Linked DNA regions of Drosophila melanogaster. The protein of the gene in region 1 purifies or fractionates together with the protein of each later gene. This does not show direct contact. Each region holds a gene or a part of one and is shown in the gene's direction. Other genes may lie near its edges.

What was found.
Region 2: the proteins of ewg (region 1) and ebd1 purify together in Drosophila melanogaster (affinity purification with western blotting; one study listed by BioGRID). This does not show direct contact.

What each region holds. Positions count from the first base shown.
Region 1 is NC_004354.4:276,479-281,708, reverse strand, and holds the start of ewg (erect wing), read left to right. Parts: upstream 1-2,074; 5' UTR 2,075-2,524; intron 2,525-5,230. UniProt on the Drosophila melanogaster protein: May function as a positive regulator of transcription in developing and differentiated neurons, regulating common aspects of neuronal differentiation and maintenance. Requirement in the CNS may be higher than in the peripheral system.
Region 2 is NT_037436.4:682,225-687,560, reverse strand, and holds ebd1 (earthbound 1), read left to right. Parts: upstream 1-2,011; 5' UTR 2,012-2,413; coding exon 2,414-2,533; intron 2,534-2,869; coding exon 2,870-4,495; 3' UTR 4,496-4,676; downstream 4,677-5,336. Other genes in the region: hiro (highroad), read left to right, coding at 189-980, 1,034-1,219, 1,275-1,570.

The sequences.
Region 1 (5,230 bases):
CTATTTGCCCACAGCCTATTGCAAAAACAACTAAACCTTGGAAACTACGTTAGGGACCTTAATCTAGTTTTCCACTGTCACACAGTATATGGAACTCGTGACCTTCGTTTCACTCGGTGGCGGCTATTAGCATCAGAGGACCTTCAACATAACATATTGATGTGAAAGCAATGAATTGCAACATAAATTATTTCGTGAATATTTATTTGTTTCTTTTAAATAATAGTTGTAAAGTAAAAACAATTAATTTGTCTTATGCTACTCAAAAATTTCCAGTGGTCAATTTCATAATGATATAGAAGAATATTATTGCCAATTGTGAAATAAACGGAAATAGTACACGCCTCGACCCCTTTGACCCAATTCAGTTTTAAGTTGCCAAGCTGGATTAAATACTGAATTCAAGATCACTGCCAGTTTCGATTATGCAGAACCGATAAGGCCAGTTCGTGTAGAATTCCGGAAGAATTGCCGATAAGGAATAAGTAGGGCCAAGTTTCAGATAAATCCAAAGCCACTATGGGGAATTTGATTCGTTTTTTGGCATAAATGTGTTTTTAAAAATGTTTCAATTGTTGAACACTTTTTTCTTAACGGATTAAGATCAAGGCTTAAGTTATGTAACGCAAATGTAAATTAATCAATGTTAAAAACCACGTGCCATCGATGACCTTCTTTTTTAGTGCTTACGAAAATTAATTGAGTTTCAAAAAATTTTTGATATGTGTGTTAGTCAATGTTTTAGAGTGATTAATTACCTACTTAGAACACATACGGTTAACGCGACTTTTGCGAATGCTACTTATTGTGACTTTTCGCGAAGATTACATTTTTAGGTAGCAATCAGCAATGCGGCCCTGATAGAAGTGTACGAAATGCGACTCTGAAAGATTTTTTTATCAATAAAAATGTTAAGAGACTTAAGTTTGTACCGATTGTGGACAATCTAAAACATGGTGTAACTCCAATACATTGGTGGATTAGATAGAATATATTGATTTAAAAAAAAAATTTTATGGGAGTGGGCGGGGCACCCACTTTGCCAAAATAATTCTAAATTCATCGTATCTTAAATAGTTTACGAGATATTAATTTATGCCAATAAAACATGTTAAATTCCCCATAGTGCAAGCGCACTACCAGCCTCATTTCACAGCGATAAGCAACTTGTGGTTTCTTTTTATATAATATGAATTCTTTGGTTTTTACATACGGGCAATCTGTGTTAAAAAAAAACAATTCCTTTTATCACTATATACATCCTAATAATGAATTTTATTGTGTGAGTGCCGACGACGGACATAAAAACCCAACATTTTTGGTGGCAAGCAGTTAGTCGTCTTCGGTCGTTCTAGTTTACCAATCCTTCAGGATTTCATATCCCTAAACTATTTTTTTGTTTTTTATTTTTTGTTAAATTTCCCGCGTGTGAAATACGAAGTTGATTGTATGTCAGTTTTTCATTTGGCCTGGCTAGCTTACTCCTTTTTAAATATTGCTAGCTGCCTTGTGAAGGGCTTACGTGTAATTGCAGTTCGACTCCCGAATAATAAATTTTTCGACTGTTTAAAATTTACCATTATTTTGGGGTATCCTAAAAGTTTTGTTACATTAATAACTACATCTGATTAATTCGTGGATCAAATGTTGTATATTCTTTGTAGCGTTCATAATATAAACCTTTAAAAAAAGCTACTAATAAACTGTCTCTTATCAGATACGGAGATGGTGGAGTGCTAGAGAGAAATTTAAAAACTCTTCTAAAAAATAACAAACTAAATAAATATGAAACTATTATAAATATGTGAGTGTAATAGAGGACGTGGCAAGCCCAGGGAACAAATTTTCCCTGCATAGAAAGACTAAAATCTTTTTGGCACCAGAAAACTTAAATTTCTTATATCAAAAATTATTATTATATTATTATATTTATGGATTATTATATGCTTACTCAAAAATATACAATCAATTTTTCAACTAATATAAGTCCGCTAGGGGGACTTGAATTTAAACTTAAATAGCACAATTAGTGGGACCGCCAATCCTCGTTTCTCCTATGCATTTTAGAGTGACCGCTTTCCTTCGACTGCGATATGTATTGCGTGTACATTATCGACGTCTGAAAAAATCACGCGTGCTGTATATCGATATTTGTCATGTACTAAATACCATTCCTCGGCTAAATTAAATCGCAAAATTGCGTCGAAACTTGGGGAAAAGTGCTGGGACAGGCAGCTGAAAACTAAGCTAACGGAAAAGCATCGTGAGGGAAAACAGCGAAACTTTGCGAGCGGGAAATTTTGGAGCTACAACCTAGAAACGGCAGTGCGCAAATGTAAAATGCACGGAATATTCGCATGTGCAGTGTGATAATAAATAAACGCCAAAGAAAATTTTCGGCGCAGGGGCAAACACACCAATGCACAATAGCGGCGGCGCGTTCGTGTGCGTGCGCCTTTTTTTTCTTTGTGAGTGTGTATGTGTGTTATCATAAAGGAGCTGGAAAAACAACAAAAATACACAGGTGCGTATGTGGGTGTAAACTAGTGGTAGGGGTCAACAAATTTTCCGATTTTCCACTGTGACAGTCTATAATTTATATGTGTATATAGAGATTTGTAGTGGCATAAGTGAATGCCCAAAAGTTTCGGAGTTTCTGAGCTAACGGTTCTTGCTGGCTTGTGTGTGTGTATTAGGTTATCATATATGTGTGCTGGTGTATTTAGCTTGTGTTACCGTTACATCGGCGCCGTAAATGAAAATCCAACTGCGAGTGTCCGTAACTTAACCATGCGCCTCAGCTAAAAGTTAAAACAAAGACAGGAAACTCCGATAGGAAGGATGATGTGTAAAGTAGGGTTGTAGAATAGAAACGCCAAACAGGTATCACTTCCAATTGTGTGCACGACAGCACACGCATTTCCCATTTGCATTGGAAGGTATGCGTGTTTTTGATGCATCTGTGTCTGTGTGATTCTGACGTTTTTGGGGTTGCGAAAAACACCCAAACCACCCCCTAGAGACGAAAAATTTGTAGATACACACATGGATAAACAGAGCGGGATGGCTAGCTCACAGCAACCTTCATTGGGTTTTTCCAGTTCCAATAGTGAAGGACGCCACTGTTATAGGTTGTATTGGGGTGGGCTATAAAAGTACAGTTCCAATTGGAACAGGGCAACGGCCAGCCTACAATTACAGATTATATTTGTTACATCTTTTAAATCTAAGGAATAAGAGTATTTTATTTATTTTATGGCCGATTTAAACACATGCCTAACAAAAATAGTTTCTACTCGAGATGAGTTTAAGATAGTCAAGAACATTTAATAGCTCAAACAAATATAAAAATTTAGACATAACAAGAAGATTACATTTTTGCTGGTATTTTCCTGTTTCCCCGACTATAAACTCCTACGAACTCTTACTGTTGGTTGTATATGTACATACATATGTATATTTCTGTCACTGCATTGCTATGAACAGTGGTGGTCTTTGCGCCGACTCCACTGCCGCGACAACCTTCGCATGCGTAACTTGCCTCTCGTTTGTATTTTCGCTGTTATCATTTCATTTTTGTAGAGCTGTGCTGTCCAGCACAGAAAAAAGAGTATGGTGGGAAATTAAGAGAGGGAGAGAGAGAAACAGCAGTACCAAGAAAATTCGATTGTGGGAAAGGGAAAGTAAAAAAACACGGTGGGGTCAATTCTTTGCAGAACATAACAAATTGTCTTATCATAATTTGGTAATTATTGCGGCTGTTAGTCTTGCATGCTTAAAATTATAAAAAAGTGTCTTAAGGTATTTTTAATTTTCCTATATATGTATAGATAGAATAAACGATACTTCGATGTAAACGGCAGTAACTTTTTGGAGTTTACGGAAGCTGGGGTTAAAGAATTTAAATATTCAAAAATAATGAAATATTCACGAATACTAAAAATTGCCTTAAGAATACATATAAAACGCGAAAGCACACATACGCTTACATTAAATAGTAAATTGAGAAAACACCGAATAAGAAGAATTTATGATCGGATACAACAAGAGTATAATTTCTTTTCTAATATTTTGATCAAATTGAAACCGAAATTATGATGTCAAAAACGGCTTTTACGAGTATACGCTTTGTGCGAAATATAAAAACAAACTAGGATTCTTTTTCCTCAATTTCCCTGTGACTTTTCGACTTCTCGATGCAATTACAACCGAAATATATTGAAGTGTATATATGTATATATATATATATATACTTATGTATATATATGTACAGATGTTAAAACAACGATGCTACACTTTTTTAAATTATTTTTTTTTTTATTATTCCGTACCGAATAATATACCATGTGCAAGACAAAGAATACTCTTGGAAAAGGTGCAAGCATATAACATTAAAACTAAGAGAATAATTTTCGTAGACACGTATAGACGGACGTGGCTTTGTCGCCTGTGGTGTTGACACTGATCAAGAATAGTATACATCGCAAATGCCTTCTTTACAGTGTTGCTAACTTCCGACACAAAGTTTAGTTGCGCTTACTGCAACCTGTGGGCATCACTGTGTAGGCCTTAAATCTTAAAGGACTCTAAAATGGCCTACTTCTATAATTAGAAAGAAAACCTGAAGACTACATCCAACAAACGCAGAGCTTTTTAATTTGGCAATACTTTAGGTTCCTTCACACAATTTCATCACCCACCTTTTTCAGAATCCGGATAAGAATGTATATATGTATGTGTCTTAGGGGGTGAACATATACTCTCTCTACTCTTTTCCCCTTTCTCTCATCATCAGATGCCTATTTTGATTACAATCAAGGTTTAGAAGTGTGCTCACTTTTGCTGGGCCACTTTTCTCGATATATGTGTGGCACGCGCAAGTGGGTCGTGCTCACATCCCCTATAAGGACGTGGGAGTTGGTGGTGTTCCCACTGCATTGTTTCGCGGGGGTGATTGGGTAGTTCGAGTAGTGCATGCGTGGTAGTTTAAAAAAGATCCAAGGAAAATAAATAAAAACACTGCATAAGATAGTTTCATCGTGAGGTGCACCTCGAGCTGGGCGAGTTTGCGTGTGTATTCAGTGCGGTGAAAGGTGTGGGATTTAAGGGGTTGGTTTTTTCGGAGCCCGAATCTCTCCTTATACATTCCTATTAGGGGTGTTGATAACAGCTCATATATCTGAGCTCTTCTGGTTTAAAGTAAGGGAGCTTTAATGGAGACACAGTAGTG
Region 2 (5,336 bases), on another chromosome or scaffold:
TATCTACACTATCTATAACAATTAATCTTATCTAAATGGCTACTCGTGCAGCCGTTTAATATACTTAAAGGCTAGATTTCTCAAGTGTTCCCTAGAAATCAGGGGCTATCATGAAATTACAAAATCAAAGAGCTTTGTATATTAATAACTATTTAATCGAAATGAGCTATAATTCAATATACTCTCAGCACGCAAGGGCTATGGACCCGGTGATCAGGATTGGGGATTTGTGGATGTCAGGACTGGCGCCCACATGTTCTACTGGCTGTACTACACCACCGCCAATGTCTCCAGTTACACGGAGCGTCCGCTGGCCATTTGGCTCCAAGGAGGTCCAGGTGCCTCCTCAACGGGATACGGAAACTTTGAGGAGTTGGGTCCCCTGAAGCTCGACGGCAGCTACCGCGACTGGACTTGGGTGAAGGACATGAACGTGATGTTCATCGACAATCCCGTGGGCAGTGGTTTCAGCTACGTGGACGGATCTTCTTACTACACGACCAACAACAAGCAGATCGCCCTGGATCTCGTTGAGCTGATGAAGGGCTTCTACACAAACCACCCGGAATTCAAGACTGTGCCGCTGCACATCTTCTGCGAGAGTTATGGCGGAAAGATGGCCCCGGAGTTCGCTTTGGAGTTGGATTACGCCATCAAGCGCGGTGAGATCGAGAGCAACTTTGTTTCGGTGGCCTTGGGAGATCCCTGGACCTCACCCATAGACTCTGTGCTCTCGTGGGCTCCCTTCCTGCTGCAGTTGGGAATCGTGGATCAGGATGGCCATGACAAGATTGAAGCTTCGGCCCTGAAGACTAAGGACTATGTTGACCGCGAGAAGTGGACACAGGCCACTTTGCAGTGGAGCTCCACCCAGTCAGTGGTGCTGCGCGAGTCCAAGGGAGTGGACTTCTATAACGTGGAGACCCCAACATTGGGTGATCAGTACAGGTTGATGTCCAGAGCTGCCATGACTCCGGAGGGTAAGATCCGTTGCGTAACTTACCGAGCTGATTCTCATCAACCACTTATCCAGAGGTCATGTATCGCACCCTCGTGAAATTCGATGTGGATGAGGACCGCGACAAATTGCTGGAGGATCTAATGCTTGGACCCGTGACCGAGGCCCTCGGAATCAACACCGGAGTGAAATGGGGCGCCCAGAGCGGCACCACCTTCACCAAGCTGATGGGCGATTTCATGAAGCCAGCTGTGGATGTTGGTATGTTTCAACCGTCTGGGTGCTACCTCAAATTATAGCCTTATGACACTTTTAGTGGGTGAACTGCTGAACAACACCACCGTAAAAGTGGGCGTGTTCTCCGGAGGACTGGACCTGATTTGCGCCACTCCGGGAGCCGTCAACTGGATCGAAGCAATGGAATGGTCCGCCAAGCCATCTTACCAGGTCTCTCCGCGCGTGGGAATCACCGTAGATCGAGTTCTCGAGGGTTACGAGAAGACCTATGGCAACTTCAGCATGTTTTGGGTCAACCGGGCTGGTCACATGGTTCCTGCCGATAATCCCGCGGCCATGTCGCACATCCTGCGACACTTCACCAAATTCGGTTAAACAAATTAGCCGGAGAAAAGCGTTAAAATAAAGATTATTTTCGAAATGTATGGACTCGTGGGTTTCCAATTGGTGGTGGTTCGATTAATTTAAATTAAATATTGATTACAATTCGCAAAGACTTTATAGTTATATTTTACAGTGCAGTTAGTTGCAGATCTTGTGAAATCAATTCATTCTTAAACTGAAAACAAAATACATACATACATATGTATGTTCTCATTAATCTTACTCTACTTAAAAAGCGATCGCCTGCAGAGTTGCCACATGGCGAAAGTAACAGTAAAGTTGTCGCATGCGCAGTTGCACCCTCTCAGCTGGTCACACGCACACACACTCTCGCACACGCCGACTTCCCTTCCGTTCTAGTTGCCCACGTTGCGCATGCGAGAGCGAGAGAGGGAGCGAGCAGAGAATGAAAACTGCGCGAGATAACGCGGCAGCTATTTTTGTATGGGTCGTCGTCTAGTTCGCACGGACATCGGAAAATACGCAAGGTGCAGCGCACGGCCAGTTGGAAAATCACAATCAGAAGACAAATCGAGTGCCTAGGAAGAGAAAACGAAAGCGAATAGAGCCAAAGCGCATTGAAAGGCCAAAGAAAAGCGAGAAAAGCAGTGACGAAATGATTTGAATTCGCTTGACAGTCAACGCGCATAATCGTAGCCATCGCACACACACAGCCGCACGGACACACACACACAGGCGGGCGGGTGTGTGAGTGAGAGAGCAGAAAGGGTGCAAGGGGTGGGCGAAATTGAGTGGGCGCAGCAGCAGCAACAAAAACAAACAAGACGAAAACAAACGGCAATTGCCGTGTAAATTGCACGGAAAGCACAAACAATGCGGATACGCGAAAAACGCAAGTTGCAGAGGGAGCTGAGGGTGGAGAAGCGCGTGGAGAGGGAGAAAAAGGAGCACAAGGAGGCCTCCAAGACGCAGGACAACAACAACAAGGCGAAGGTAAGTGGCCACAGTCAAGCCTCGCAAAGTGTTTCCACCCCATTTCACTTCTCAAAGAACACGAGTGTAAATGACTTGATCTAGGCGTTTATTTGTATATAAGCTTGAATGAGTATGAGTATAAAAGCCCCATGTATTCCTTGAAACTTCGTCTTTCTTAACTGTTGCTTTTGTTAACATAACTAAATATGCAAAGACCTTCTGTTGTTTTGTCTACATTATTCATGTTCAGAGGGAGCACTGTATCTCTACATTCATGGTGGCATTACTTTGCACGATTTCAACTGTTACCATAAAACCCGGTAATAACAGCACTTTTTTTCCCTTCGTCGTTAGGCCACTGACACGGAGGTTCTCACACCAGCTCCTGCGCCTGCGCCTGCTCCACCAGCAGCACCCACTTCGACTGCATCACCCACACCCACTAGCACGCACACCCCCAGCCTGCCGGCCGCCGAGAAGGTGGCCTTCGACAATCGCATCAAGCGCAAGAATGTCCTGGCCCTCAACGAAAAGGTTGCTGCTCTGCGGGAATACGATCGGCTGCCGGTTTATAAGCACGTTGGCCGGCTGTTCAACTGCAGCCCAGATCAGATCAAGCGGATCGTGCAGCAGCGCGCTGAGATTCTGAACGCGTGGGATCAGCGAACCCGCAGGAGCCAGGACGCCAAGACCATGGAGACGAAGACCGTCAGGGTCTCGATGTTGGGCAAGGCCGTGTACGATTGGATACGCCGCATGATGTACTACAAGGACTTCAGCATCTCCGACGGACTCATCCAGAAGATGGCGCTGCAGTTCAAGAGCTCCATGAACCTGGCACATTTCTTTCCGCACCAGGAGTGGTGCGACAAGTTCAGACGCACCTACAGCATCCAACACAGCGACACCAGACTGTTGAAGATAGGCTACACGCAGGGCTACTCGGTGCAGATCAAGGACATCGTCAAGGACGTCATGTCGGAAAGCATGCCGGAAAGTGGGCCACGGAACGGCGAGGAGGATGACGAAGAGGTCAGCTTGGGCAGCCCGGTGAGCAGCCATCCCCGCAGCTATGTAGAAGACGAGGATGACGAGGTGGATGTCGACGGTGGCGGTATTAGCGGCGAGGATGATCTGGAGGAGGAGCCTGATGTCAAGCCCTCACTAAGCGAACTAAATTTTGCCAGGGCTCTGAAGCCCTTGCCGCCTCTAGTTAGACTGCCCCTCCAAGCTAACACACCGCCAGGCACCACTCAAAAAGTTCTCCTGGCCACACCCATTGTTCCGACGCAAGCGGGCGGACAGCCCATGACCATGACCATCATACCACTAGCCACGCTCGCTCAGAGCATCACCAAGATTCCTGCCCCACAGCAGCAGGACAAAGGACCGGTGGTACCGCCGCCCAAACTAGAGATCAAGCAGGAAAAGGAAATCAAAGTGGAGCCCAAGGACCCGGAAGAGCTCCTGGCGAAGCAGCCCGAGGCGGAGCTCCAGGAGAACGATGACCGAGCACAAAGGGAAAAGGATCTTGAAATTCCGCCTACAGTGCACATAAAAGTGGAGCCAGAGGCTGAGCTGGAATCGGAACTGGACCAAGACCCAGCGGATCTCGATGAAGACGCGAACAATGGTCGCTCCAGTGTCACCTCGCTGGCCGAGGTTCTGGCGGCCAATGTGGAGGACGAGATGGAGTACATCGAGCAGATGCGGCAGCGAAAGGTGAGTTCGCCTGCGGCAGTTGAAAACTCGCTGAATCCTCGCCAGGGCACCAAACGTCGCTATGAGTCCGCCCAAGACGATAACAACAATGGGGGATCCGGCCAAGAAAGTGGGTCCAGTGTCATCAGCTGCGCCGATGCACGCAAGTACCTAAAGCTACTCGAGGAGTTTGCTCTGTACAAGGAGAACTACCGGCTGATTGAGCTGATCACACGAGCCGATGAAGTGATGCGCGAAATGGATGACAATGTGCCGTAGAATGCTCCAAACAGTGAGCGCCACATGAAGGAGAACGAAGAGGAGGAGGAATAGCTGCAGCCAAAGAGTGTAATCTTTGCAAACTGATGCATCTAGAAGATGCACATCGGTCGGATGCAATCAATCATTAGATCTAAGGTGAACATAATTTGTATTCGAACCAAATAAACGCAATCAAACCAAGTTTCTAGTGAGTAAATTTGATGTGGTTATAAAATATTGTGATGAATGAGCTAATGTCAATTGTCAATTGGTCTGTTGGAACTATTTTATACTATGCTCCCGACTGTAACCCTATTATTTTGACCTGTGTTGTATGTTATAACAGCTACATTTCCTTCCACACATTCTCGCCAGAACAAAAAGTCGGCTAAATATACGCGCTAATTGTTTTTTTTTCGAAGTGCGCATGTCTGCCCTTAGTTGGGCTTCTTCTTCTTTTTTTGCCGGGCGGGAGGTCACCCACACACACACACACAGGCGAGCCAGAAGAGAGAAAGAGACAAAGCGCATGTAAATGAAAATAACGGAACAAAGAGGTCAATCATTGAATTCTATCTTGTTAAAGAGAGAATTTCCCTGATTCAGAGTGTATTTTAAAATTTTCCCTGATCAGTGTGAAATTTTGGAGAGCGAGTTAAAATAAATTCATACTTTGCTGATGATTTCCTTATGCCGACAATCTTGATTGGGGCTAAGATGGGTAAGTGCGCAGGTCTGCCCTTAGTTAAAGTCTGAATATTTGCTGCTTTCCTCTCCCGCACACACGTGCACCTAAATTGCGGGGGAGCTGTAAGTCATTGTTTAATCCATATAATTAAAACTAATACAATAAGAAAAT